Yarrowia lipolytica: one gene and its partners. The protein of the gene in region 1 interacts with the protein of each later gene in a pairwise test. Links are inferred from orthologs where the notes say so. Each region holds a gene or a part of one and is shown on either strand. Other genes may lie near its edges. The genes, in order: YALI1_D09103g, YALI1_E39924g, YALI1_E25826g and YALI1_E38640g.

Region 1 (3,382 bases):
CAGACCGACTCGTGGGCTCTTGGTGTACTTTTGTACGCCATCATGGAGGGTCGGCTTCCGTTTGACGCGCCCCGAACGTCTGGGGGTGGCCGGTCTCGTGGCCGGACGGCCCACCGGATTGCCCGGATCGAGTGGTCCTGGGGCGTGTTCAAGGACGAGCCCGATGGAACACCTAATACGTCTCCCAACCCCACCGGTCTAGGCGTGCCCACTGGCCAGTGGGATCGCGAGGCGTGGACCGGCGGCAAGGAGATTGTAAAGGGCTGTCTACAGCGGCGCAACAAGCGGTGGTCAGCGTTTGAAATTGGCCAGAGGCCGTGGGTCAAGGAGGTGCTGCCCAAGCGGCTCATTATGCGCGCTTCCATTGACGGTATGGCTGTGGAAACCAAGATGGTCAGTGTTGATACCCGGGACGTAGAGCGGGCGGCTTCGGAGCCTGCCCGAACCGAGCCTGCTACGATCAAGGCGTAACAGTTTGGTGGTTGAGACGATTTGGAGGAGACGATTTGGAGGGGACGATTTGGAGGAGACGATTTGGAGATGACGATCTGGAGGAGACGATTTGGAGATGACGATTTGGAGATGACTTGAGGGTGCGAGAAGTGCTCAACGAGATGACGATTATGACTTGCTCAACGAGATGACCACATTTGGATCTCGACTCACATGTAATATACTATATTTATTTGCATCATTAGGGGTAATTGAAGGTACCGGCAAGTAGAGTGGACTGTAACGAATGTCTTGCTCCGTATTATGTTTGAATGTGATGATAGGAAGGTGGATACTTGTACAAGAGTTGCAATCCGCATTTTCTTCTCAGATTCTGTTTGTTTAGGGTCAATTTGAAATTACTGTACATACATCGGAATACACATGATTCTTGCTTGTAATATAATATTTCAAGACTGCATACAGAGTGATGATGGCAGTTATCATGACAGATTATCACACACGATATACTGTATGTACTAGTCCGTCTGCTAATAATAGTTCAACACACCGTGTGTACAGTACAAGTACAACGTCTGTTTATAAACAGAACATGCTGAGCGAGTTGGGTCAATCACGTGACTGTGTCATTGGTGTGCCTTATGTAATATTTTGTAATATTTTGTATGGTAATGTGCCATCATTGTGTACTGGCTGTGTTATCGCATACCATAATCACCGTATCAAAAGTGAATGCAGTTTGCTGACACTTTGTACACCACCTCGGATTAGATCAAGTTAAAGCTCAGCGTGCGATTACTCAGCACTCCCTCTCTGGTCCTCGTCATTGGCACGATTTGGCTACATCGGTCTTGGATACGACGTGTGTTGGATAAGAGGGAGAGACGGTGCAGGCCAGCGCATCTGATACGGTGATTGCCCGTTGGTAGCGCTGTTCAGTAATACAGCTTTGTTTAGGTTCGCCCAGTGCAGGCAGTTGGACGCTTGTTCTGTAGCTATTGTTCAAGACTGTGGCTGGTATGGCAGGTGGTTGCAAGAGAAAAAAAGTCCGTTGCGAGCGAGTTTGGTCACGTGACAGGAGGAAATGTATATATCTATGTGATTCCGGGATCCCCTTTTCAGGTACCGGCTGTGTCTGTCTCGTCACTGCCCTCGGCATTATTATTGCCACCAACTCTCAGTTCTCCCAACCCACTTTGCCACTTTAGGACAAGCTCAGCGCTACCTTTGACTTTGACTTGGGTTGCCTCCTTTCTGTATCGTGACAGCACAGCTACAGCTACAGGATAAACGACGGCTCCCAGTTACTACAACAATCTCCCCGTGACCGTGACAGCAGCAGTGACATCAAAGCAACAGCGCAACAGCAACAGCAACCGCAACCGCAACAACAGCAGCGTCACCACTTGCAGTTTTACTCCAGAACATTACACTACTTTCACACGTAGTCACCTTGACATCTACAACACCGATAACAGTTCTCAACATGTCTGCCCCCAGAAAAACCACCAGCGTCAAACTGGTGCTGCTCGGCGAGGCCGCGGTCGGCAAGTCGTCGCTGGTGCTGCGGTTCGTCAGCAACGAGTTCCAGGAAAACAAAGAGCCCACCATCGGCGCAGCCTTCCTCACACAAAAGTGCAACTTCCCCGACCGCACAATCAAATTTGAAATCTGGGACACGGCCGGACAGGAGCGATTCGCCTCTCTGGCGCCCATGTACTATCGAAACGCCCAGACCGCGCTCGTGGTCTATGACATCACCAAGCCTCAGTCATTCATCAAGGCCCGACACTGGGTCAGCGAGCTCAAGTCCCAGGCATCTCCAGGCATCATCATTGCCCTGGTCGGCAACAAGCGAGATCTGGTGGACGACGACGAGTCTGCCCGAAAGGTGGCGGAGGACGAGGGCAAGCAGCTCGCCGAGGAGGAGGGTCTGCTCTTTTTTGAAACCTCGGCAAAGACCGGCCTCAACGTCAAGGACGTGTTCATGGCCATTGCCCAGAAGATTCCCGAGGAGCAGAAGGCGCCATCTGGAGGCCTCAGAGGAGCAGAGGAGGACAGCAGGGTCGACCTCAACTCGGCCGTCGCTGGCCCCGAAAGCAGCTGTGCTTGTTAGATAGAGTAATTATTGCGGAGATGCGCCATCCCAGCGGGCTGCCAATACAAGTGGCAGGCGTCGGTGTATGGCCTCAAGTAGACTCTACTTGTAGTTCACTTGTATCGTCCATGTCGGCGTCCATATTTTTTTAATCACCTTGTCTGTCTTGTTATCTACAAGTACAAGTACTGTGTGGACACAGCCCACTTCTCACTCACAAAAACATGGTCCCTGCGTTGGCCTTATTCACAGGTAGGCAGTAATTATGAGCATGGATAATGACGCATTTTTGTACGCAAACAGTTGAGAATAAGGTACCCCGTCATTCGCCGCGGTCAATCGGGCGCTTCAGGCGGGTCACGTGACCCTAGTATCCTGTCGCCATCGGCTTGTCGGACACTTGTGTATTTTGGTGTCACACAGTGTTTCCTCCTAGAGAGTAGATTGCGATCTTGGTCAGATGACATCATAATGAGACACATGCGCGGCTCGACGAAGCAATAGGATAATCGGCTGAAGCTGCAATTGGGGAGATAAGTAGCGCTGTGAAGGGGGATTTCTTCCCCAGGACACAAATAAAACCCCCCATGAAAAGCATTCTTTCGATCTTCACGCCACAGAAATTAACTCGGTTATACGAGGCAACCCCCACAGACACGTTTTAGTTGAATGTTGTTGACAGAGCCACCGAGATTAGTTGAGAAGCTCTCAAGATTCTTAATCTGTCACTCGATAATATGTCGATATGATGAGTTTCGGACGTCCAAATTGTTGGTATTTTCAAATTCAATTCGGACCCGTGAACGCCGCACAGACACGGACACGTGCTCT
Region 2 (3,837 bases), on another chromosome or scaffold:
GCTTTCCGGAGTAAGTTACATCCACGGAGTTCATGGTCAGTACAGAGGGGGCGTCCTGATCAGAGGCCAGTTTCTCCCGGGCCTGTTTGGCTCGTTCTCCTCGGAGAAAGATCTTTTCGTCATGCTTAGTCTTTGCCTTCTCGAGAAGCTCACCAGAAAGAGATTTCTCTCCTGCAACCACGATTCCAGACTTATCGGCGTAAGCCACGTGGGTGATCCAGTCGGGGACCGTCTCGTGGGATCTCAGACCCAGAATGGCGTGTGTACCTCTGGTCTCAGGCAATTCCTTGCAGACATTGCTGACAAGGTCAGCGGCACCGGGATCGAGACCAAGGAAGGGGTCGTCGATGAGCAGAAGCTCGGGATGCTTCATGAGAGCCTTGGCGATTCGAGATCGCCGGGTCTGCCCGTTGGAAAGAGCTCCAAACCATCGATCACCAATTTGGTCCAGCTCCAACATCTTCAGCAACTGGGGAATGTCGTCCATCGCGGTTGCGGGATCACGGGAGGCTCGCTTGAGCTCCTCGATGAGAGTCATGTCGAACTCGTCCTTGAAGAACTCATATCGAGCTGACAAGTGACCCATGTTGATTGATCCTCGGAACTCCAGCGTCTGGATGACTTGGCTGGGAACCCGTTTTTTCTTGAGGAAAGGGTACTGCCGGCCCAGAGGTGGATCTGATACATGTTTGGCGGCCAGAATGGACATCAATTGCGACTTTCGAGGTCCACTGATGACCCATTTCTCATCCGGGTTGATTGTCAGCGAAATGGGATTGGGGAAAATGTAAGGGTTGGATCCTGACGAGGCCAGGGCCCCAATCATGCGGAACTTCGCGTCTTTTATCGATATCAGCGGCAATCGAGTCATTTCACTGTCGTTGTGATGTTTCGAGAAGGATGAATTTGACTCTTACTTATCACTGGTCTAGAGCCGTATAAGGTTGCCTAAACATGTACTCAATAATCTGGTGTGGGGGGTTGAATGTGGGGGTACTGGATGTGGGGGTGGAGAAGACAAAAGCACTCGGCATCGAAGAGTCAGCTTGAAATCGGTGTTATTCATATCCAATCGTCGCATGTAGTTTCCTAAATAGGACCTCTAAAGCCGCAGTACATATCCATCAGAACGGTGGAACGTTACTTTTTTCTGATCAAAAGTGAAAATTCAGAGGGAAATGATTCTCAAGCCATGGTTAAGGCAGGTTATGAGAAATTTATCTGGAGAGAGGGAAGAACAAAAACAATAGGAACGCCATAGTTTCTAGCAATTGTCCCACTCTTTCCCTATCGTTATGTGCTCTATATCGACTCTGCTCGCCTCGTATCAATACAGTACAAGTACCTGCAATGGTATCGTACTCGTATGGCTAAAATTACGAGGATACGATCATGATGATGGTAACCGCAGCAACAACTCAGCTCCCAGGAGACACACATGAGTACTGCTGAGAATATGCACGTGCTGTTACGATGGCCACGCAATCATCAATAAACGATATGAACGTATACAACTTATCAATTCACCCAGATAAACACTCAATTGTCTCACTGATCACAGGCTAACTCTTTCAGTCGCACTGCCGCACTCACACCTCCAAGCCTTGTGTGGCTATTAACATCCCTGATTCTGCATGACGGGTGTCCCAACCGTGCAACCATGCATGGCCACGTAGCGATATGGCGAATCTAGAGATGAGTCGCTACACTATGATGAGAGCTGGGGAGGCGGGTACCTGTCATGATTAAACGACAACTGACTCTACCTCCCTACCATAGCTTGTACTTTATAGTGTCACCTTCCACGGAAAGACCTAACCCAGATTGCACTAGTAACCAAATCCGGGTAACGCAACCCTAATCAACCACGTCCCTTAAGCAACACCTTACGCTAGCCTTCGTGGAACCTCTCTCTTGAACCCTTCTTATACAACAACCCACATATCATCATGGACGAAAAATACGACGTCATTGTGCTCGGCACGGGCCTTACCGAGTGCATTCTCTCCGGTATCCTATCCGTCGAGGGCAAGAAGGTGTTGCACATTGACCGGCAGGACCACTACGGTGGAGAGTCTGCTTCTCTCAACCTTACCCAGCTCTACAAGAAGTTCAGACCTGGCAAGGAGGACACCAAGCCCGACGGACTGGGCCGAGACCGAGACTGGAACGTGGATCTGATCCCTAAATTCCTCATGGCCAATGGAGAGCTTTCCAACATTCTGGTGCACACCAACGTGACCCGATACATCGACTTTAAGCAGATTTCCGGCTCCTTCGTTTTCCGATCTGGAAAGATCGCCAAGGTGCCCTCCAACCGATCGGAGGCCATTAACTCTTCTCTCATGGGTATGTTTGAGAAGCGACGACTTGCCAAGTTCCTCGAGTTCGTCGGAGGCTACAAGGAGGACGATCTCGCCACCCACCAGGGCCTCAAGCTCGACACCAACACCATGTCCGAGGTCTACCTCAAGTTTGGTCTTGAGACCGGCACTCGGGACTTTGTGGGCCACTCTATGGCTCTGTGGACCAACGACGACTACCTCAAGCAGCCTGCTCGAGAGACCGTGGAGCGAATCGCCCTCTACCTCAACTCCATGGCCCGATACGGAAAGTCTCCTTACATCTACCCCGTCTACGGTCTGGGTGAGCTGCCCCAGGGTTTTGCCCGTCTCTCCGCCATCTACGGAGGTACCTTCATGCTTAACAAGCCCGTTGACGAGATTGTCTACGGTGAGGACGGCAAGGTGACTGGTGTCAAGTCTGAGGGCGAGGTTGCTTCCGCTCCCATTGTCATCGGTGATCCCACCTACTTCCCTGAGAAGGTCAAGAAGACTGGCCAGAAGGTTATCCGAGCCATGTGCATTTTGGACCACCCCGTGCCCAACACTGGCAACCTGGACTCTGTTCAGATCATCATCCCCCAGAACCAGGTCCAGCGAAAGAACGACATTTATATTGCTGTCATGTCTTCTGCCCACAACGTCTGCGCCAAGGACCACTACCTGGCCATTGTCTCCACCATCATCGAGACCGACAAGCCCCACATTGAGCTTGAGCCTGCCTTCAACCTGCTGGGTCCCCGAAAGGAGACCCTGATGGGCATTGCCGACATCTACGAGCCCATCGAGGATGGCACCAAGGACGGAGTCTTCATCTCCAAGTCCTACGACTCGTCTTCGCATTTCGAGTCGACCACTGACGATGTCAAGGACATTTATTTCCGCCTGACTGGCCAGCCCCTGGTGGTCAAGCCCCGACCCGAGAACGAGGAGGATGAGAGCGCTATTAGAGCCGAGTAAGCTGCATGTCTGTAATGATAATATATTGAAATGAGTGATTATGCATGATATTATGTAATCTTACTTAGGGAATTGCAGAGTAGATAACTGCGAATATAAGATAAATTGATGACTCGTTAATGTTAAGTAAACGCATACGCAACCCAGACCCCATCCTACACACTCGCACAGTGTTAACCAACCAAATAAATTAATTACAACGCCTAGAATAAAAAGTATTAACCAGGCTCTAGAGTGCCTGATTAAGTTGTTCATCTCATGCTGTATGGTCCGGTATCTCGGCCCATTAAGCTAGCAGGAGACATGCCGGGTCGACCGCCGCGACCAGGTTTTCGCCGAGTTTGAGGCTGGAACTGGAAGTCGGGGTTGCCCGAAAGCAAGAGATCGTGCTTATTGCCATGACCAGGTCCCCCGCCACCATAAGGAGGTCGAGGACCCATATTGGGAGGAGGACCACCCATGTTGTGGCCACCCATGTTGTGGCCACCCATGTTGGGACCACCCATTCCCATATGAGGTGGGGGTCCTCGCATAT
Region 3 (4,151 bases), on another chromosome or scaffold:
TGATGGGCTTGACAGCCTGGATCACCATGCCTGAAGGAACAGGAACAAACCGAGCGTTGGCACTACAGTCGTGGTTGACAAATCGAGCAGGGCCTAGCATGAGACAGTTTCCGCCTCTTCGTGAGGAGTGGAGCACAGAAAAGTCGTTGGCAAGGGCCAGCTCTTCGTCCTTGGTCATCTTGGCCAGACAACCAGACAGACCGACAATCTCGTCTCCCCGGTTGTATCTGACTCTGGAGATGACACAGGACTCTCCTCGGTTGGAGCGGCACTTGTAACGCATGGACACGTTGATTTCAAACCCGCACGACGCCTTGTAGATGGTCAGGTATCGAACTGTGTGTCTTTGGAACTCTTCGTAAGCCAGTGGACTAAGCCGTCCTCGGTATCCTCTGACCTCCTTGAGCTCCAGAAACGCGTTGGTGGCCTTCTTCACCGCCAGATTAGCCGCAGCTCCGGTCTCGCAGGCGGCAATGGAGCGCACCAGGTCGTGGATATGACGATCTGAAATGCCGCGTAACGGCTTGTAGTGCACGGAGGCCTTGCGGACCTCGGCCCAGTAGAATACGCGCTCCAGCAGCAGGTCGGTGAGAGCGTCGTCGATGGTTGCCAACTCCCCGGGCGTGACCGTGATCATTGTGCTGTTGACGGGTCGTTAGATGGTCGTTAGTATGGCTTGTGTACAGCTTTGAATTTAGCAAAAGATGCGTGCTTTCATGCATGTGGGGGTCACAGTGGTGTGGTTGTTCTGAAGGGTGTGGGGAGAGTGTGTATATAAGAGGGTGGTTCCCGGGTGAATATTCGACATGGAAAACTCGTTTTATTTCTTTCAGGTGGTATTTACGTCGTTGCCAGGGGTTTTTCTGCTCTACAACTTGTGCATTAACTGTCACCCATCTGAGCTACTACTCCTCATGCGCCCTACACCCATAGCTGACTGACAAGGGTGATTCATAAAAGAGAGCTTGTATGAAAGACTGTGTATAACAGATATGAGGCTCTACAGTATGAGGCTGTGGTTACCGAGCCGGGTTGTACCATCACTTTTTATTGCATATCCTGTAATAATCAGAAAGATGGTGCAAGAACCAAAAACAGCCGTATATTCGTATGTACTCGTTCTTGTTCTATCTGTCCTGTCACACGTCAGCGGAAACTAGCCAACTAGTGGCTTATAGACGTGTTTTGAGAGCCGTACTATACAGAATCGTATCTCTGTCTCTGTTGTTTACGACTCTAGAAACCAGAAATGGTTTCAGAGTGGTCTTCAGAGTGGTCACACACAACCACTTATGCCCGAACTGCATCCCATCGCATGTTTCAGATCAGGCCGAGACGGTTTAAATCGGGTTTAAATCACCCCAGAGCGTTTGAATTCGATCTTGAGGGGATAACGACCCACCAACTAACGACATACAAGTGCTACTGGACGAGGTTGAGTACATTTACTGTATACAGTACCAGTGTTAAGTACCGTACGGTACTTGTAGTACTGTCAGAGTTAGAGGCAACAATATTTACTGTTTTGGTGTGCAGTACATACGAGTGTACTACTGGAATCGACTGAGATGGGGGGGGGATGTAGAGAGTCATCGTTGGGGTATCCGTACAGTATACTTGTACCACTGTGCAGGTGTAGATCTGTCAAATGAAAGGTGATTAAAGACTTCTCCATATCAAATCCCTTCTTTCTTTTCTTCGGAAGCCCTATCTTTCCGCAACTCCAGTTTCACCTTGTTGCTACAGTAAATAAACGCTATCCTTGACTTTCTTTCAACTAAATTAGGTGCAATGCTTACCCAAGTTTGTTAGCCGTCTACACCACAGCATCGGTCACAACTCCACCAGTAGACTAGATATACAAAATCAAAACACATATCCGCACTCCACGTAATCACTAAACCTCAAAACCTGCCCTACCTTTTCAACAACTCCCTAACCTGCCGACCCTCACATGCAACCCCGCCATATTACTCAGCTTATCACGCACCACCCACAAGTACACTCTATTTCAGCATGCGCAAAAAACGAGTGATCGGAACCAAGGTGGAGCCGGTGAAGGAGCCCAAGGTGGTGCAAACAAGCGCCGCTCCCACTCCGCCACCCCCGCCGACCCCGCCGGTCGTCTCCACGGCGTCCCCAGGCCCCGAATCACACTCAGCCACTTCGCTGACATGTCCGATTTGCGAGGAGACAATGTTGACGCTGATGCAACTGAATCGGCACATTGACGACGTACACGGTGATGGCAAGGTAAAGGGCAAGACACGGGCGTCCAGCGAGAAACCACACACGAAACCGCGACCCACCGACGAAATGGTGACCAGACGGCACTGGAAGCACCCCGGACCGGGCCAAACATGCCACTATCCGGACTGCAAACGCAAGCTGGGAGCCAGGAACGGCTCAAGGCACTGCCGACATTGTGGAAACATCTTCTGCCACGGCCACAGTCGCTACAGAATGAAGTTGAGCCGAGATGCTCACCACCAACCAAAGGGCGGTATCTGGTGTTGGGTGTGCAAGACTTGCTACACGGGCAGAGAAGGGTACAATGACACGACAGGTACTGAAAGAGATCTGACGCAAGAGTTCAAGAAAAAACGCCAGGCGAAAATCGACATCCAGGAGCTGTCCGTCAATAAGCTGGAAAACAGACTGAGACGACTTGCGGAGGAAAGCATAGAGAACGAGAGCTCGGGACCCTGGTGGAAACCCAAGGCGGCTGTCACAGCCTCAGTACCATGGCAGGAAGACTCAACACAGCCCAATTGTCCGGAATGCCAGGTCAAATTCACCTTTCTGATCCGCCCTCATCATTGCAGGGTGTGCGGAAAGGTGGTGTGTGGACAGACATCCACACAATGTTCTCTTCCTGTTGGTGTGAACATTTTAATCAACAGTCTCGATATGAAAGAGGAGTTCAGCGACACCATTCCAACAGATTGCGAACCCATACGGATCTGCATGACTTGCAAGAATACAGTCTTTGGTAGACGTAACTTTCAGCGGGATGTCAACTCCGATCCCAGCGAGCTGCTTAAGCTGTACAACACCATGACCCATCTGACCACTTCCATCGAAAACATGATGCCTCGGTTCCAAAAGGAGCTTGAGGAGACGATTGCGTCCAAAAAGATGGCCGGTATGCATCCCAAGGACATTTTGGCAGCGTCCAAGCTGCGTAAGCGTCTTCTCGATACCTTTTCGCAGCTAGATTCGGCTGCTAGAAGAGTAGGAGCACTGGAGGGACTGTCTCCTACAGAAGAGCGAATACAGCAACAGATATACACAGCTGCGGTGTCATTTCTACAAGAGAAGATGCTGCCCTTGAAAACGCTTCCCAAGGTGCTGGGTAGTGAAGCTACAGCCCCCGAGCCAGCTAAACCCCGTCCTCCTGCCAACTACAAGGCACTTCAGCAACAGCTGGTGGTCATGGAGGAACAGAGGTTTATGGTGGAGAACATGATGCTGGAGGCCAAGCAGAGGCGAAAGTACGACGAACTGGGGCCTTTAGAGATGTCTGTGAAGGATCTCGATAAAGAGATTGAAATTCTGAGGAAGAGGCTAGGAGATGAAGCATTTGTTTAATCTCAGTTTAGAGCAGCACCACGAAGGAATATTTGTACTCATAGAAAGTGCTAGCGACCCTATGGCATGATACTGTATGTATCAGAACAGTAATGAATAATGAATGATGACAATTATGTATATTACTTGTGGCGGATTCGGTGACTGTAGATAATTGTACAAGATACAACTATACTTGAACATCACATACGAGTGCGGAACATTTCAGAACGTGAAAATGTTCTGTGATTCTAGATCAAGTCTGTAATTACTCCATACTCTATCCAACATACATTAGCTATACTTGTCCTTCTAAGACCGATCGAAGAGCCCATCATCATCATCGTAGTCGTCTCCTCCGCTGACGGACCAATCGTCCGAGTCGCCCATTTCGCTGTCATCGTCATCATCGTCATCTTCGTCATGGTCGTCAGTGTATTCGTCGGACTCCATCAAACCCTCCAAGGACAGCTGTAGCATGGTTTCGTTCTTGGCCACCTTGCCAGCCTCCACCTTGTATCCTCCTTCAACATTGCAGCCTGTGAGTTTGGCCTTGGTACCGACTGTGGTCTTAGTTCCGA
Region 4 (4,434 bases), on another chromosome or scaffold:
GTCTCTGGAGTCACGTGTTGCACATGTCAAATCGTCCTTGCCTAAACCGACCACTCCAAAGCGTGCCAAATCTTCAGCTTCTGCTGTATCGGGAGCTTCTACTATCAAGAGTTCACCCAGTATGGCTCTTCTGACGCGTAAACTGAGTGAAGCAGACGATGTGGTCAGTTTGTCACCTTCCAGATCAACTTCTTCTCTTGAAGATCTGTGCACTCCTTCTCCCAGCCCACAGGTTGCAAGAAGAGATATGAGTGGAGGAGGAAGTCGATTGGATCTAAGAGCAGATCCTAGACTCAATGGTCGACCCAAAACGCAACAACCTAGACCTAGCTACAATTCTGCACTGGCTACAGCCAAACCTTTAGATCCGATCGAAGGATCTCCCACATCTCTAGAAGGTCGAAACCGAACCAGATCGGCTTCCCCCACCAAGAAGCTCTCTTCATTATCCCTTAATGCCCCCTCACTCCCCCAGTCCCAAGCGCGAGTCAACATTCCTGCACTCATGAGACCAGCAAGTCCCATCAAACAACCCAGCCCTCCTAAACCGGCCCCCGGATCCAAGTTCGCGGACGTCTACGGTCGGAGACGATAGCATTATACAGTCCATTTTCATAATCATTAATACATACGATACCACAACGCGCCGTCAAAAGTTTTGCTACTTGTAGTAACATCATTAGAGATTATTTTCTCTATTCATCTATATCCATCATAATTCATTAATTTCGTTCCTTTTTGATTGTAGGTAGTCGTGCAGTACACATCAGGACTCACCAACCAGCATAAGACAGTAGTCAACAGCAGCTCCAACGTTGCATTTCTTCTCTCTCACGATATCTTCAATGATTTCGTGATCGAGGATAGGGAACATTTGGTGCAGAGTGTTGACCACAGAAGCGTGTTCCTCATTTTGGATTCTTTGAGCCTCGTACTCCTCAGCAGAGGCTTGTCGAGCAGCTGCCTCCTGGTGAGACAGACCCTGGGCAACAGCGATGCTCTCAGCTTCAGACTGGGGAGTAGCGTCCTCCGTTGAAGCTCCCGCATCGTCAAAGCTGCCCTCAAAGAACTTACTGAGCGACTTGAAGGGGCTAGTAATGAGTCCTGCAGAGCTCATGAGAATGTTAGAAGGAGTGCTGCTCTCAGGTGACAGAGCTGGAGATTGTGAATCAGCTCTGCCGGGGGTGTCTGGTGGCGCAAGAGCCTTCTGCTTGGCCTCCTCGGCGGCCTCCTGCTCCTTCTTGGCGTTCTTCTCAGCAATCTCAGCCAGAGTTTGTTCCAGGTTGGTATCAAAGTCCTCATCGGTGATGCTCAACGACGACTTGTCCAGCTGCTCAACAAAAGCAACGGCTCCCAGCAGCGAAGAAAGATAGTACCCGGGCTCTCCGCTAAGCCGCTCGCTCGATCTGAACCGCTGAATATAGTTGAGGTTAGAAATCAGGTGCTGCGGCTGGGCCTTGAGAACCACATAAATAAGCAAAGGAAGGAACCCGTCTGCGGATTCCTCACTCTTGGTCTGTCTCAGAAGTCCAAAGATGACCTTGCAGCAGTTGAGCACGCAAATCATCTTATCCCGGGGAGCTCTGTAGTTGTTAATCTTTCGAAGTTCCTCACTTGCCAAAGTCACAAACGATGCACCCGATTTCCAGAACTTATCGTCAATATCCAAATGACGGCCTTCGATCCATCCCCAAAGCAGCAGTTTCTCTTCCAATACATGATCTCGGATAAGATCCTCTTCGTTTCCGTCTGCAGCGGCACTGGGATTCTTCGCATGAAGAACACCTATGCTGTCCGCATTGTCCAGCTTGACCACCTCAGGAGAATATGTCTTTGAATAAAGCCGGTTCATGATAAGCTTCTCGATACCTTCCTCCATGTTGACGAGCTCGTTGTCGGTCATATCCGCAAAGGGAGGGCTCTGCATCTGTTGGATCTTGTTGCTGATGAACTCCTTGAAATCACCAATGATCTTGACCTGCTCATTGACAGTCCATCTCTTCTTGTTGAATTCGCTGAGAAAGGACTTGAGATATCGTGCGATGGGGTCTGCGTTCTTGTGTCGCAGCAGTTCCAGAAACCGCTGAAAGTCGAAAGGGGCGTTATCATCAGACGAGCTTGGAGTGGCCTTCTCTTCGTTACCTGGAGTAGCCCCAGTCGGTCGGGCAGCATCGGTGGTTGATCCAACCTCACTTTCAGGCTCGGTTTCAACTACCTCAACCTCGACCGACTTGTTGGTATCTGTGGTGTCAGCTGTGTCCTTGGTGCTGTCGTCATCTTCAACATTTGCGCCGTGCTGTTCTTGTTCCACCTCCTCGACTTTGGTGGGTTTGGTGTTGTCCAACGGCGGATTTGGCTCCTCTTCAACCACCTTCTTTTTCGTCTTCTCGATAGGAAGATCCAACAGACTCATGGTTGTGTGTTGCTTGGTCGTGTCTTCCCAAATTTTCACTTCTGAATTATTTTGTGGTGATGTTTCTGCATGAGCGATTACATGGCGAGAGCGTACGAGTAGGTTAACTTTGGGCAGTAGGAGGTGGCAAGCTGAATATGGCACTCTTTGTGGGGAGTCCAAACAGCAAAGATAGCAGTGAAAACGACAACCGAATTATAGGCTCTTTCTGAGGCTTTTCGGGTGACTTAAACCCTTGTTTAATCCATTACAACCACCCACTTCTCGCGTTGCTGACTCACTATCTATATGTGTGCAGTGCACTGGTCCTCGGCCAGCCACCAAACAGCCTGCATGGTGACTCGCGAAGATTGCCGAGTTTGAGTTAGATGCTTCATGTTGGCTGAACTGAACTGAACTGAGCTGAGCCAGACAGCTCACACAGTGGGCTTGCAAACAGGGTCTAAAATAAAGAACACTCCATTTCTGTTGAATAAACGAAAGGGAGCGGGCCGCAGTCAATAATGAACGGCTTCCGATGACCGAGAAAAGAATCGGCTGGATGATGTTGAACAACTTCTGCTGTGCGAGTACCCAGGCGATAATAGTACATACTGTAGGAACAGGAATACTTGCACTCGTCCTCTTACTCGTACCGTACGTATCCGATACTGTGGCGTTTTCAGTGGCGCACTTTGCTTAGTTCCCCATGCTCGTGTGTGATAATACAGCAGAGCAGCCAAAATGTACTGTAAACACCATCATGCACATTCCACACATGTTCTTGGCAGAGGACAAACCAAACACCTTTAGCCACTACGAAGACTCGGAGAATATAGAGTGCTGCTAATGGTGGCAAAGAGCAAGTCGCTCTGGCGCATCTTCCCTTGTCTAAACTTTTTTTCCTCTTTTTCTTTTCTTTCCGAGCTCGTATAACCCATAAATCAAGGGGGGTTATCCAGGTCCAGACCGCCGGTAAAAGAATTTAACTACGGTATACCCTTTGCGTTGTCAAGGTTACGGTGTTGTGCCAATCCGTAAGCGAGATAAAAGGGAACGAAGAGAGACGGAACAAAGTGTCAGTCCGATAGAATTTGCAACCCGTGACAAGATGAAAAACAACCAAGCAAGAGACGGTGATTTGGGAGGGCAAAAATTATCTCCATGATGATAATATCCGATGGAGAAATCTAATAAGTATGCAGACAGGATCCATTACTCCTTTAAACCGTCCTTAATTTAGACCGGGAACTTGTGTGTCGTATTACCCCGATCTTTCAGTCCATTCAAGATGGGGTATCCACTTTTTTTTTCCTCCACCTGCAACAGCTTGCAGAGTGTAGGCATCAGAAATGAGGAAGATGGGGCACGGCGCTTTGACGAGATGGACAAGGACGTAGACGGGAAAAGACGTGATGAAATCTAATGAAAGAAAATTGGGCTTGGTTGTAGAGCAATATTTTTACCTCGAGCGATCTCAAGAGGCTACTGACGTGCCTCCAAACTCGCTGACATAATCCTACTGTATTGCCACACATTAAGTTGGTATCTGCAGGGTTCTCATCTCTACTCCTTCACACCAAAAAAATGCGTCAGGGCCTATACGCCTTGGGTTCCAATGGCCATGGCCAGCTAGGAAATGGACACATGGACGACACGGCCGAAGTACATACTGTGGTCGGACCACAGGGGCTGATTACAGAGCGACCCATAGCTCTCGAGTTTGGCGGGACTCACTCCATTCTCCTGATGCAGTCCGACCCCGAAGCATACTACGTCACTGGTTCTAACGACATGGGCCAGTTTGGAGACACTCAAACGCGCAGATGCCAGGAGTTCATTCGCATGGCCACGCCAGGCCACACCTGGAAACGGGCTGCCGCAGGGTGGACGTTTTCTCTGCTCGTAGATGAGCAGGACCATGTTTACTCATGTGGCCACTCCAACTTTGGAGGACTAGGACGAGGACAGGCAACCCCTACCAGCCGCAAGCTGGGCCGAATCGAAGGTCTGCCTGATAAATCTATTTCAGCCATGAGCTG

What was found.
Region 2: the proteins of YALI1_D09103g (region 1) and YALI1_E39924g interact in binary tests that used the Saccharomyces cerevisiae proteins (3 or more experiments, as listed by UniProt). The link is inferred for Yarrowia lipolytica from reciprocal best matches to the Saccharomyces cerevisiae genes VPS21 and GDI1.
Region 3: the proteins of YALI1_D09103g (region 1) and YALI1_E25826g interact in a two-hybrid assay, tested with the Saccharomyces cerevisiae proteins (4 studies listed by BioGRID). The link is inferred for Yarrowia lipolytica from reciprocal best matches to the Saccharomyces cerevisiae genes VPS21 and PEP7.
Region 4: the proteins of YALI1_D09103g (region 1) and YALI1_E38640g interact in a two-hybrid assay, tested with the Saccharomyces cerevisiae proteins (3 studies listed by BioGRID, with this or other methods). The link is inferred for Yarrowia lipolytica from reciprocal best matches to the Saccharomyces cerevisiae genes VPS21 and VPS9.

What each region holds. Positions count from the first base shown.
Region 1 is NC_090773.1:908,953-912,334, reverse strand, and holds YALI1_D09103g (uncharacterized protein), read left to right. Parts: upstream 1-1,939; coding exon 1,940-2,569; downstream 2,570-3,382. Other genes in the region: YALI1_D09140g (uncharacterized protein), read left to right, coding at 1-471.
Region 2 is NC_090774.1:3,990,502-3,994,338, reverse strand, and holds YALI1_E39924g (uncharacterized protein), read left to right. Parts: upstream 1-1,949; coding exon 1,950-3,302; downstream 3,303-3,837. Other genes in the region: YALI1_E39934g (uncharacterized protein), read right to left, coding at 1-871; YALI1_E39886g (uncharacterized protein), read right to left, coding at 3,554-3,837. UniProt on the Saccharomyces cerevisiae protein: Regulates the GDP/GTP exchange reaction of SEC4 by inhibiting the dissociation of GDP from it, and the subsequent binding of GTP to SEC4. Plays an essential role in the yeast secretory pathway.
Region 3 is NC_090774.1:2,580,621-2,584,771, forward strand, and holds YALI1_E25826g (uncharacterized protein), read left to right. Parts: upstream 1-2,016; coding exon 2,017-3,591; downstream 3,592-4,151. Other genes in the region: YALI1_E25812g (uncharacterized protein), read right to left, coding at 1-637; YALI1_E25859g (uncharacterized protein), read right to left, coding at 3,883-4,151. UniProt on the Saccharomyces cerevisiae protein: Required for vacuole segregation and vacuole protein sorting. Possibly part of a complex which tethers the vacuole membrane to microtubules, either directly or via kinesin or dynein-like motor proteins.
Region 4 is NC_090774.1:3,861,644-3,866,077, forward strand, and holds YALI1_E38640g (uncharacterized protein), read right to left. Parts: upstream 2,414-4,434; coding exon 767-2,413; downstream 1-766. Other genes in the region: YALI1_E38608g (uncharacterized protein), read left to right, coding at 1-595; YALI1_E38656g (uncharacterized protein), read left to right, coding at 3,980-4,434.